3 linked regions of the Saccharomyces cerevisiae S288C genome follow. The gene in region 1 interacts genetically with each later gene. Each region holds a gene or a part of one and is shown on either strand. Other genes may lie near its edges.

What was found. A genetic interaction does not mean that the proteins touch.
Region 2: mutations in SFL1 (region 1) and SPS2 together harm fitness more than expected from each alone (negative genetic interaction), as found in Saccharomyces cerevisiae (2 studies listed by BioGRID).
Region 3: mutations in SFL1 (region 1) and YCK2 together harm fitness more than expected from each alone (negative genetic interaction), as found in Saccharomyces cerevisiae (2 studies listed by BioGRID).

What each region holds. Positions count from the first base shown.
Region 1 is NC_001147.6:584,883-589,806, reverse strand, and holds SFL1 (Sfl1p), read right to left. Parts: upstream 2,827-4,924; coding exon 526-2,826; downstream 1-525. Other genes in the region: RUP1 (Rup1p), read left to right, coding at 3,483-4,924. UniProt on the Saccharomyces cerevisiae protein: Involved in cell surface assembly and regulation of the gene related to flocculation (asexual cell aggregation). Mutations in SFL1 causes constitutive cell aggregation.
Region 2 is NC_001136.10:1,483,194-1,487,466, reverse strand, and holds SPS2 (Sps2p), read left to right. Parts: upstream 1-2,163; coding exon 2,164-3,672; downstream 3,673-4,273. Other genes in the region: putative serine/threonine protein kinase SPS1, read left to right, coding at 429-1,901; URC2 (Urc2p), read left to right, coding at 4,064-4,273. UniProt on the Saccharomyces cerevisiae protein: Involved in middle stages of meiosis. Redundant with SPS22 for the organization of the beta-glucan layer of the spore wall.
Region 3 is NC_001146.8:343,035-347,482, forward strand, and holds YCK2 (serine/threonine protein kinase YCK2), read right to left. Parts: upstream 2,243-4,448; coding exon 602-2,242; downstream 1-601. Other genes in the region: CUZ1 (Cuz1p), read left to right, coding at 1-306; tubulin-binding prefolding complex subunit GIM3, read right to left, coding at 2,635-3,024; INN1 (Inn1p), read left to right, coding at 3,279-4,448. UniProt on the Saccharomyces cerevisiae protein: Casein kinases are operationally defined by their preferential utilization of acidic proteins such as caseins as substrates.

The DNA of each region.
Region 1 (4,924 bases):
GCTATGATGGTAACATGCATGGTGCAACAACTACAGAATAGGAGCACAACTTGAAGGCGTCCATAAAGAATAAGGTGTCTTTTTGTGATGGTTGTTTAATAGCAAACATACATATATACTTATAGAATTATTGTACAGGAAGTTTATCGAAAGGTGCATTTTTCTGTTTATGAGACAATACCCCGTAGCTATTCTGTGATATACTAGAAAGAACGGGCGGTATTATGATACGAATTGAAGGGAGGTAGGGGAAAGGAAGGTGGAAATGAAAGTGGAAAATACAATTTAGTGTGATGAAAACTTAATAAAACAACTACCGGAGTTGGTAAAAATATAGTTATAATCACAAGGATCAGGAGGAAAAGAAAAAAAAGTGAATAAAATAAATAACAATGATTACCCGTTGGGATACCTAAAATGAAATGAAACAAAAGTAATTGAAACAAAAGTAATTGGAACAAAGGTAATAAACATACAGTGAGGTGCTTTGAACTTTTAGACAACTAGAGATTAAAAAGGCAAAGATCACATCTTAACCTTTTTGAGTGCCGGAGCGGCCTTATCTTCAGTTTTAGGATCAGCACTGGACGTGCTGCTATCCTCTTGATTCAGTAAAGAATAAACACCGCTCCCTTTTCTCTTACTATTGTCAGCCTCGCCAGTATTCTTAGTGGTGCTCGTTGTGGGCAAAGATGGCTGCGGTAGTTCTATTTGTGGTGCAGGTTCTGCTTGTGATAGGCTTGAGCTGTGCTCGACGTTCATGGGGGAGTTTATTAAATTTGAAGAAACAGCAGGAAGATTGTCCATGTTTTTTGGAGGAGGGCCCGTCAAGACAGACGAGTCTAATGGAGTTACCGAATCTGGAGCACAATTAGCAGCTTTGTTTAATGAGCGAAGCAATCCCTGCTGAGAGTACCGAATTGGGGCTGGATTGTTGGCAACTAGTGTAAAAGAGGAGGATAAAGACGTGCCCGAAATACTGGATTTGAGAGAGTTTCTAGGTTTGGGATACAGACTATCTTCATTCAACGATGATCTCGGTGTCAGCTTCAGAGGACTGTTTCTTCTATCGTTGGGCAAAGAGCTTGTAGACCCGAGACTTCTCATTTTTGGTTGAGAATACAATCTCGTTGTTGGTTCATTAATAGGATATATTGGACTCGGAGCCATATTTTGAGGGACAGGCTTGTTGTAGTCACGGACAGAAGGATTAATATTCATGATAGGATAGTTTAGTGGACCCTGAACTCCAACACTCGCTGCGGGAGTCAGCGGGTCCATGAGAACACTATTGGTCCTCTTCGTGTTGCCCGGTTTGTTGTTATTTTTCGAGGCAAAAGGATTGTGCATCATTTGTGGAGTGCTAAAAGTGTCTGCATATTGTGGAGGTAGTTGTTGGATGGGTATCGGCTGATTGATAAAGTTTGGTACATGTGCCGGTTGCTTCGCATAAGTCACATGTTGTTGCGACTGCGGTTGGTATTGTACAAAAAGTTGCGAGGGCGGCACTGAAGCCGTGTTGAATCTCGAAGGGATGTTCGTGGTCGAGGAAGATTTCTGCGGGACATACTGGTTCCCTGGAGGAACCATCATCTCATACTGAGATTTGGGTGCATATGCAGATGTGGATGTGGGCGCGGGTGCAGGGGCGACAGAGGCAGCGGTAGCGGCAGCATTTACAGCACAAAGAGAATCTATTGTACGGTGGGCCCTCGACATGACGTGCTGTTTGAAAGTTAACATATCGCTTTCGAATGCCTGAAGTTGCTTTTGGTGATCCTTCACGATATTTTCCGATTTTTTCTTGCTCACATTCTTGAAGGTGAAACTCTGTGAACAAAAACTGTGTTGCAAAGATATGAAATGCTGCATAGACTCTATAATCTTAACCATATCAAAATTTATTTCTTTCAAATGTTTCAGTGTTTCATCTTGAAAGTTCGGAGGTCTGTTTTGCTCTTGCATTTCCGGGTTATTGGATTCCAGCGGGGCATGGTTTGCGTTTTCGTAAGTTACATGAGAGTTATTAAAGTACTCGGGGATAGAGTTATTGGCGCCCGGAATTTGCGGAACGAAATTACCAAAGGAATTGGAACTGGTGGACGGGTCTTGAATCGAAGAGGGTCTTACTCTTGCACCGGAATCTATATCGTAGTTTTGATTACTAGAATTCTTTCGACTGTTAATTGAGGAGTTATTACGGGAAGAAGCTCTTCTCTTAATGTGTTTGAGTCCCTCAATGTCACCTTTCTTGAAAATACCAGAACTATGCTTAAATTCCCAGATTTTAGTGGGGTTACTTTTCTCCTTTTCTTGGACACCGCCACCGGTATTTTCGTCGCCACTACTGTTTTTGTTGCCACTATTATCATCGTGAGTATTGCTGTCATCATTAGTATTGGCGTCGTCGCCACTATTAGCGTCGTTGCTGCTATGATCATGCGACACCTTGTGAAAGCCGTAAATGTTCAACTGTCTTACAAAGCTCGTGATATTAGTATGCTTGAAATATGTAGCCAAAGCCTTACTAAACCGTTCCACAGGCTTAATCATGAAGGATAAGCCCGAAGGGGTCCACCATATCAAGTCGTGTAGCGATTCGTCCTCCAGAATCTGGTATAGCTTATGGATGAATATCGCATTTTGTGGCGGCCTGGGCCCCACTAGCATCTTCGACCCATGTTTCTTAACATCCTCGGCACCGTCGCCGCCTTCAGCACCAGCATTAGCTATTCCAGCTGCTGCTCCACCACTACCTACATCGGTTCCAGCCGGGGCCGGTGTAGAAGCTGGAGCTGGGGCTGAGACCGTTTCCTCTTCACTCATGATTTTTTCTTCTTTTTTTCTATATAACTGATTTGTGCTGTCTTAGGACCCTCTGAATGTACCAAATAGTGTCGAATTACAATATTCTTTGTTATGTATATAGAGCTGAGTGCTTTGTGTGCGTATGCGTATGTGTGTGTGTGTGAATTTTTTCCTTGAACCTGTCACTGTGGCGATGAAGGTTCACTATGTTCTTTTTTCCCTGCTTTTCAAACTATCTTTGAAACTTTCCACTTCACACCAGTACGACTTCTTTGAAAAATTCGTAAGTCGAATAAATAATATTATTTCGCCGTGCGTTTGTGTTTCTGTTTCAACAACCCTTTGTGTGCACCTGTATAGAGTGTTTAAAAAGAGATCCTTCTTGCTAGCTGAAAAAGTTTATGTCGAATAAAAACGTCTTTTCATGTACTGAACATCTGTTTTTCCGGCGGAGATGCAGCGATGGATGCGCTTGCTGCCAAGGCATCTGTGCCGGGCGGGTGATGTCCGGGCGACCCGGCACGGAAGTAAAAGATACTATTGTTGAAAGGTACTTCTCACTACAAGGCTTAAGGACCTGTCGGAGTAGAGGAAAGAAGAGAAGAAGCCGGAAAAGGAGAGTCGTCACCTGTAAAAGGAATCTTAAGTAATTGATTTTTGTTAAGTAAGCTACGATGATGGATAATCAGGCTGTAAAGTCACTGCTAGAAATGGGTATTCCACACGAAGTAGCTGTGGACGCCCTCCAAAGAACTGGCGGTAATTTGGAGGCAGCAGTTAACTTCATCTTTTCGAACGAGCTGCCGGAGCAAGCGGAAATGGGTGAGGAGAATGATGGCAGTCAGCCTAGGATTTCTGAGAACAAAATAGTGGCTGGAACCAAGCCCTGCGATGTTCCGAACAACGGGGACCAAGACATTGATATGCCGGATGTGAGTGGTGTCGATGTTGATTATGATGACGATGAAGACATCACGGATGAACGCAGCGGTTCTAATAGCACCAGCGGATGCAGGGTTACTGCTCAGAACTACGATCGTTATTCTATATCGGAGACATCCATTCCTCCCCCCTCTTATAGTATAGTACAACACAACGAGTTCAAGTCGAACGTGGGCGATCCTACGGTTGTGTTGCCGCTACCCTTGAATAGTCTAATTGAGAGCTATTTTGGGCTGTTTGCGTTGCTCACGGCCGTGTATTTCCCACACGTGTTCTTGAAACCGGACTTTAAGGATTTGAACTATAGGGCAGACTGGTTCAAGGGCTCATCGTTTACGGAGCCCAAATACAGACTTGCATATTGCGAGGCAGAAGATGGTTCCACTACGTCGGAGATCGTGCTGGCCAGCGGACCTAATGAAGGGTTGCAACCGCATCTGCTCTGGCAGTTGCAAAAACTCATCTCCGTGGTTAACACGCGAAAGTGTGAAAGAGCCTTTGTTTCGGCCAAGGTGTTTACGTCGTCCTTGGAACCGCAATTGAGGTCCAAGCTGGCCGATTCCGAGCATCTTTATGAGGTGCTCCCAGCGTTTATCAAATCATTGGCAGTGGATTTGGAAATGTGTCCTGGGATCAGAGACCGGGAAACAAGAAGTCTCTTTATATCTTCTGCTTTGCATACTCCGAACAAGAATGAACCTCCAATGGAGACGTTTTTGTCCTTGTTTCATTTTCTTCCTGAAGAGTACGATTCTAATCTATATAAAATGTTCAACGTTTTATTGTACCCCGAAGAAGAGGAAGAAGAAGAAGACGTGATTCGTGGTGGCGAGCAAGAAGAGGCGAGATATGTGGAACCGGAGAATACTTTGAAGGAGGTGGCACCCGTATTAACAATCCTGTTCAATGAACTAGAAACAAATACAGAATCAGTGTCTCTACCCAATGGCGTGGATATACCGCTTGAGTTTTACCCACAGCTTTACACCAAACAGTGCAAAGACCAACTAATAAGACATATTATTTCTAAACGAAAGCAAGCGCGGACCAGATCCAGATGCTTGCTTCAAGAGATCAACGAGTTAAAGAGTTACCAAGGCAAAAACATATCCACTATTCTAGAGTCGACGCTGGCGTATCTACAAACAATTCCTGACGATGCTAATAATGAAGC
Region 2 (4,273 bases), on another chromosome or scaffold:
AGGTTCGGAACAATGCGGCATCAGGGATAAAAAAAAATGACACATAAAAACGAAAAAGACACAAATTCCATTTTTTTTTTTTGACGCGAAAGAATGACACTACTTTCTTCTATTGTAACCATTTCTAACATCGATATTTTACTTGTTAGTTCAGATATATACTAAAGAGTCACTTAATATACTGTTTTTGTTTATTATCTTGGTTCCAACTGCTTCATTTAATATTTCCTATCCAAAAAAAGCCAGCTAATTCTCTTCTTTTTTTTTCTTATTTTGCCATTTTCAATATTATCGATTTAGTGAACACCTGGCTAGTCAGTTGTCTTAGCAAACATTTCTCAAAAGAAAGCAAACCAGCATTTGCTTTTTAAATTTAGTTTTTTTACTAGCTAATTCATTTACTAAACAACAAAAGAAAATAGCACAAAATGGAAAGCAAAGAAATATCAATTAGGTCAAGAACCCCTCCATCGAAGCTATATTCCATCCAATCATGTATTGGCAGAGGTAACTTTGGTGATGTGTATAAAGCAGTGGATAGAGTTACGCAAGAAATTGTGGCAATTAAGGTGGTCAACCTGGAGCATTCCGACGAAGACATTGAACTGTTAGCACAGGAAATTTTTTTTCTGGCGGAATTGAAATCTCCTCTTATTACAAACTATATTGCAACAATGTTAGAAGATGTCTCTATGTGGATTGTCATGGAATATTGCGGCGGTGGATCATGTTCAGATTTACTGAAGCGAAGTTACGTCAACGGTTTGCCTGAAGAAAAAGTTTCCTTCATTATTCATGAAGTCACCTTGGGTTTGAAATACCTGCATGAGCAAAGGAAAATTCATCGTGATATCAAAGCAGCTAATATTTTACTAAATGAAGAAGGTATGGTTAAGTTGGGTGATTTCGGAGTAAGTGGCCACATTCGTTCCACTTTGAAAAGGGACACTTTTGTAGGAACGCCGTATTGGATGGCTCCGGAAGTTGTTTGCTGCGAAGTTGATGGGTATAATGAGAAAGCAGATATATGGTCCTTGGGTATCACCACCTATGAGTTACTCAAGGGCTTACCCCCATTATCTAAATATGATCCTATGAAAGTTATGACTAACTTACCAAAAAGGAAGCCTCCAAAATTACAAGGTCCCTTTTCGGATGCAGCAAAGGATTTCGTAGCTGGTTGTCTTGTTAAAACACCTGCTGATCGGCCATCGGCATATAACTTGTTATCATTTGAATTTGTTAAGAATATCACCATAACGAACTTGAAAAGTGATGTTGATCTAATTAAACAGAAAAAGGTTCAGGAGAGATATACAAAAGTTCCCAAATACCCTCTTCAAAATCGCTTGTATAAAAACAGCAACACAGTGAGGGGAAAGGAATTTTGGAATTTTGAATCGACAAGACTAAGCACAACACAAATTTCCAAAGAGGAATTATCTCCCATTACACAAGACTCTCCAACATCATCTTTAAATATGGAAAGTCCTTATTTACTTCATGGGCAAACTGTAACGCCGATAACCAACCCAAGTTCTTCATCATTTAGAAAATGTACGCAACCAGTTTTCGAGCTTGATTCAGGAATGGATATAGATTCAGGCTGCCCAAATGCTCAAGCAGAGACCGAAATAGTTCCTCTCTCTAATCATAATAAGAAGCATAAAAAGAACGATATTCAGGCGTTGAAGATAGAAAAGTTTGACTACTTGAAAAACATTGTATCTCATATTCTCAACAGAATGTATGATCGTGCGCGCGACGATGAAACAAGAAAATACGTAAATGAAATGTTAAAGCAATTCATTAAAACTGAGGCAAACGTTCCTGGATTTAATGAGGTTTTTATAGAAGAGATCTCACTAAGAATTGAAGCAATAAAGAAAGGATTCGTTTAAAAAAATAGATATATATATATAATGTGTGTATATGCATGAGTTTTTGTTTTCCATTCTCTTTCATCTTCAATAAATGAAGGATGGATATATTGAATTATATAACAAACAGTAAAAAGTCATGTGTTTTTGATTATTTACCTGCTTATTTCTCCCTTTTTTTTTCGATTCTTTTTTTCTGATCGAGCGTTTATGTCTTTACTGTCCCGTCATTGATGCGTCTCAAAAAAAATATTTTGTGGCATTACTTAGACTATAAAAGAAAATGCCAATTTGGAAAACACAAACATTCTTCACTAGTATTTCTGTTATTCAAATAGTCAATAAAGAAACCAAAGTTTCTACAAAAAAAGAAAAGGATAGCATGTTGAACCAGTTGAACACAATCTTAAGATTTTTATTCTTGTTTCTGCAGTTAATTAAATCATCCGCTGCAGTTGAACCTAATGGTGGACCGAATATTCTAGATCACAACATTATGTTGGTTAACACTAATGCAACGATCCCTAAAAAGGAACAAACTGATTTTGAGGTGATTTCTCCAACAAAACAAACACAAGTAGATGAAGACTGTAAAAAAGGCTTGTATCATATTGAGAATGCTGGAAATTTGATTGAACTGCAAGCTAAATGTTGGAAAGTGGTAGGAAACATTGAAATATCAAGTAACTACAGCGGATCTCTTATTGATCTAGGGTTAATAAGAGAGATAGAGGGAGATCTTATTATCAAGAATAACAAACACATTTTTAGAATCCAGGGTTATAATTTAGAGTCTTTGGGAAAGTTGGAATTGGATAGCCTAACTTCCTTTGTATCATTAGACTTTCCCGCTTTAAAAGAAGTTGAAACCGTTGATTGGAGAGTTTTGCCTATTCTAAGTAGTGTTGTCATTAACGGAAATATTAAAAAGATCAAAAATATTATCATATCTGATACTGCATTAACCTCCATCGATTACTTCAATAACGTCAAGAAAGTGGATATTTTCAATATCAACAATAACAGGTTTTTAGAAAATTTATTCGCAAGTTTAGAAAGTGTTACTAAACAACTAACCGTCCACTCTAATGCCAAAGAGCTGGAACTTGATTTGAGCAACTTACACACGGTTGAAAATATGACCATTAAGGACGTTTCAGAAATTAAACTAGCTAAACTTTCCTCTGTGAACAGTTCTCTAGAGTTCATCGAGAATCAATTTTCAAGCTTGGAACTACCACTTTTGGCAAAAGTTCAAGGAACGTTGGGGTTAATAGATAATAAAAATCTGAAAAAGCTAAACTTTTCGAATGCCACCGATATTCAAGGGGGTCTAATGATTGCTAACAATACAGAGCTTGCCAAAATTGATTTCTTCCCCAAGTTGAGGCAAATTGGCGGTGCAATATATTTTGAAGGTAGCTTTGATAAAATTGACCTCCCAGAGCTAAAGTTAGTAAAAGGTAGCGCTTATATCAAAAGTTCATCTGAGGAATTAAACTGTGAAGAATTTACATCACCAAAAGCCGGTCGTTCGATCATAAGAGGCGGTAAAATCGAATGCACATCTGGTATGAAAAGTAAAATGCTGAATGTTGATGAAGAGGGGAATGTACTAGGAAAGCAGGAAACTGACAATGATAATGGAAAGAAAGAAAAAGGAAAAAATGGTGCAAAAAGTCAAGGAAGTTCAAAGAAGATGGAAAACAGTGCTCCGAAGAACATTTTTATTGATGCTTTCAAAATGTCAGTTTATGCAGTTTTCACGGTATTGTTCTCGATAATTTTTTAGGTTAGAAGATTAACTTAAATACTAGCCATTTTATTTAGTTCTTATGAGATATAAATTTGCAGTAGAGATGTAGTGTTCTGATTATCTTCACCTGGAGCATAGCGTAGCCCACTTAGCATCAGCTTTTTATGTTATTTCAGGCATTACCAAAACTGGTTAAACTATTGAAACTGTTACCCTCCTTTTAATTTTGACAGTTTTTGAATAATTATTATGGTAGATCATCTTAACAAAATGAGCTCATTAGGTAGATGATTTAATTGAAAAATAGTGTTTTGATACGGTTCTTCCTTAGGGTTAAAACCACTCACATTTTGCTTACTCACCATTAAAACATCTTTCCCAGTTGTATTTTATATTTCTTTCGGTTTGCTGAACATCAGGGAAAAAAATGGATATAAACTCAAATGCCTCAGTAAGCCCCAGACCAGATGGTTTACCGATGACTGCTGGATATAATTCTGCTTCTGGAAAGGTGCGAAATAGTATCAGATCCATAATAAACCACCCAGAGGATAGTGCAAGAGCCAAAGAGCGCAGTGAAACGAACAGTCCTAAGAATAATGGCAACAAAAAACCTAGAAAGAAAAGAAAAACATTT
Region 3 (4,448 bases), on another chromosome or scaffold:
ATTTGGTGTTACTTGGTGGATGGTGATGAGACGGATATAGCCAAGGAGGATACAAGAATGCCATTATACATTAACAAAATGTGGCCTGTGGGTAGGGCCATGGACTATTTGTCTATCCAGCTAAACGTGAAATCTAGCACACTAACTAATTCAAGTTCTAATGACAAATTTCAACTATGCAAATTGAAAGAGGGTAAACAAGTTTCATTTTATAATATTGGCGCTTCCTTAAGAGTCACTAATGAGATCAAAGATCTTGATACTCTGTATTTAGTACACAATAACGCCGACGAAAAATCTAATTAAGAAGGACACTATAAATAACAAACAATCGCGCGGAACGTCAAGCGTATATACTATATAAAAAGAAAACAAAAAAAATCAATAACCCATTAAAGATACATAATCAATAAAAAACGATATTAAAAAGCACGTAAAGTACTTAATATTTTTTTAATAATAGACATTTTCGCCCTTACTTTTTAAATAAAAAACATAAAAAAATATCAAATGTACATCAAAATCATAATACTAGAACAAAATGTGAAGATCACTGGACGGTGGTGGGAATGATTACAAAAAACCTCCTCCGTTTTCTATTCTAACAGCATCCTAGCTTACTGAAAAAACCTTTCGATGATTTGTTACTATTTCTATCTTGCGCTGCGTTTTTAGCGTTTTGTTCGTCGTTCGCCGTTGGTTGCGCATTATATGGATACTTGTTAGTTTGACCATTGGCACCTGTATTGGCAAACTGTTTGGATTTCTGTTGCATTTGCTTTTGTTGTTGCTGAGCATATTTTTGTTGAGTTTGTTGCTGATATGCTTCATACGAAGTTGGATCAAGCTTCGACGCCTCTCTTTCTTCGTCATAGTGCGAGTCATCTGGTTGTAATTGATAACGATTGGCCTGTTGCTGGGCCTGGGCTTGTTGCAATTGTTGTTGCTGCACTTTGGCTTGTGCTTGAGCCTGTGCTTGAGCCTGAGCCTGCTGTTGTTGTTGCTGTTGATTGTAATGATGGTGATGATCGGGTGATGAATATTGATGGTTTTTACTTCTATGCCTTTTTGATTTTTCATTTGGTGGATTTGGGTGACCATAACCATGTAAGTTCGGCTTTTTGTTTATCGACAAATCCCAACCACGGCCACCATTCAGCTTCATCCAATCATATTGTCCATCTGCTGTTTCACCTAAATCATCCAACACAGATAAAAGTAACATGCGGTAGCCCTCATAATCAGGAGTTTCCTCAAACGATAAATTTCTGACTATTTCCAAATACCTACCAAATTGGATTGGGAGACCCTGAGCTAAATCGTAAACATTTGTTAGTCTTTTCTTTTCGCCAATTTTTTCGTACTTTTGCTTGTTATTTGGTGCTTTCAAACCTTGCCATGGTAGCTGCCCCCTCAAGAAATAAAAGAAGACATGACCCATAGCTTCCATATCGTCTCTTCTCGATTGTTCTCTACCCAAATGTGTATTTATCGACATGTATCTTGCTGTGCCACTTAATGATTTCTTTTCCCTGTACGGAATATGTTGTTTAGTTTTTGGATCACGATATTGTTTGGCCATACCAAAGTCAATTAGATGAACTTTGTTAGCATCTGGTTGACCCGGTCTTCCGATCAAAAAATTATCAGGTTTAATATCACGGTATATCAAATCATGAGCGTGCAAATCTTCAATTAAAGTTATCATTTGTACTGCGACTTGTACAACAGTTTTTACCGAAAATCTTCTTCCACACCAATCGAATAAATCTTCTAAAGAAGGACCAAGCAGATCAATAACCAATATGTTATGTAATCCTTCCTGACCAAAGTAGTATTCTTGTGGTATACCAGGTGTTCCCGCTAAAATTTTATAGGTCCGATATTCGTCCTTTAGCTGTGGGGCTTCTGTTTTTCTTGGTTCAAACTTGATAGCAACTGGTAATCCATTGATCATGTTTGTACCTTCAAAAAGTACACCAAATGAACCTTCACCGATTTTCTTACCTATCTTATAGTGCAGCCCGACTATAGTGGAATCGTCGCGTGATTGTGAGCCAGAATAGGAGGCAGAGCTATTGCCAGTGTTGTGATTTAGGTTAGAGCTAACATGTAAGGATGGGGGTAAAGTACCATTGACCAATCTAACATTGCTACGGTTAGGCATTTGTGAGTTCATTGTGTTATTATTGACAGCTAAACCAGAGTTCGTTGCTGTCAAAGGACTTTGCACTTGAGACATTTTTGGAAAACTATTTTCTTGGCTTATATGCTGTGTTCAGTAGAAACAACAAGTTTTGTCTATCAAAATGGAGAAAAAAACTTTCTAATATGATCTGCACAGAAACACGAAACACAACCACGTTCTTAAATCTCGAAAGAGAAAAACAATATCAAACGAAAGAAGTAATTTCCGTAAAGAAACTCTTTTTTTCTGTCTGAAAAAAAAGGTACTTAGGAATATATGCGGATTACAAAGGTATACAAAAAAAACTCTATCTCATACACAATAACTTAAACTTGCTTTTTATTATCATGTTCTTTACTTTTCTTTAATTTCCCTCCTGAAAAAATTAAAAATTTTTCATTACTCATTTTGTGGAGACACCCACAGCCCACACTTTAATGAGTGTTCTAACGTTCAAGGTTGATATTATCACCAAATTTAGCATACAGGATCGCCTTCAGAGCATCAAGACGGGAATCAATGTCTCTTTGCTTGTCCTCTAAAGTCTCTATTTTGTTGTCGAGACGTTCTGCGTCTTTTTCGAGCTGTGCGGTAACTTTGCTCTGTTTCATGAAGATAAAGAGGTCGCCCACCTTGTATTGCACGGGCTCATCTTCGTCAATCAATTCAATTTCTAGAGACACATCATCGAGGTACTCCTTCTCCTCCCTCTGTAAACTCAATTCCTGCGCAATGGCGTCCTTACGCATAATCAACTTCGAAAACTCGTTGATCTTTTGCTGATCTTCGAACGTTACCTGAGTGTTGTTCCTTTGTCCCTGTGGTAACAGTTCCATAATGGTCCTCTGTTAGTTTCTTGGCGTTGTGTATTCTGGTAGTTTCCGCAGGACCAAACAGAGCATAAGTCCTCTAAGTACTTAGCTTCCTGTAAAATTGTATGAAAAGCCGCCTCTGCTGATCATGAATGACGGCCTAGCGTTCCTCATATGATTTAGATAAAAACATAGAAAGGTATGTTAATAGTACGAGAGAATTCGGAGACCTTAGGTTTCACAACTGGAATTGGGTTAACTCGTTGAGTCACTGTCGAATGTCCGAAGAAGTATGGAATGGAAACCAAGGAATCCTCTCCGTATATGTGAGCAAAGCTAGAGACTTGCCTAATTTGAATAAACTGGACAAGCAAAATGTAATGCTTAGGTTGCGAATAGCTCATATGACAAGAGCCAGCAACACTCTACATCGAGCAGGTCAAAACCCTGTTTTCCATTATTTAGAAAAATTTGATATTACTCCAGAGATAAAGCCTTTAATGTACGTCGAAGTTTACTGCGATAGAAGGAAAAAATCTCCGCTGCCAATTGGAAGATGTGAAATAGACCTTTTAAATGCTATTAGAGCAGACCCGAAGGAGGGTTATTGTACCTGGTACGAACTGAAAAGAAGTGGGGATGAATTTGCTGGCACTATATTCATTGAGTTGACTTTCACTCCCAAAGTACCTCGTTTAAACAGGGACGATCTTAACAAAGAAATGGACAGGTTGGATTCATCTATGGCTATGAGGCCGATACCACCATTGCCAACAGAATCAGAGTATGACTATGTTCATGGTTCTACGATGAGACAGATTACTCCCCAGTGTGTTAGCACAAGTCACGAGGATAAGGATGAGGGACAGCCCTACAGAAATGGCAATGTTTTCTCCATGTCATCTAAATCAGATACAGCGGTATTGGCAAATAGTAATGACCCAATAATTTTACCTCCAACTTTTTCAGCATCCATGGGTACAACGTCTACATTAGAAACTAATGATACTGCTATATCAAACACTTCGAATACAAAATTCCATTTTGCCAATTTAAGGAAATTAAAGGAGAAGATAAATATATTTAAGAATCCTGATAGTTCAACAAACAACTGCCAAAATGAATCTAACAAGGTAGATATTGAGGCACTTCAAAAGGCTATTGGTGTAACTTCGTTGTCTTACGACGAAGATGATGACGATGACGACGAAAATGACGCATTTTATTCTTCCAGCCATAGAGTCTCCCACAACTATAACCAACCGCCCTTACCTCCTATACCGACCAGAGATGATATGTCCAATTATTCAAGTTCGCGCAATACGCCGTTAGTAAGAAGAGATAGACCCTCACGCCTAGATTCCTCTTCGCCTAACTCACATCCTCATCCATCAGGCCTGAATTCTCCAAAACTACCACCTCTACCGACTACTTCGAATTCCAATTTT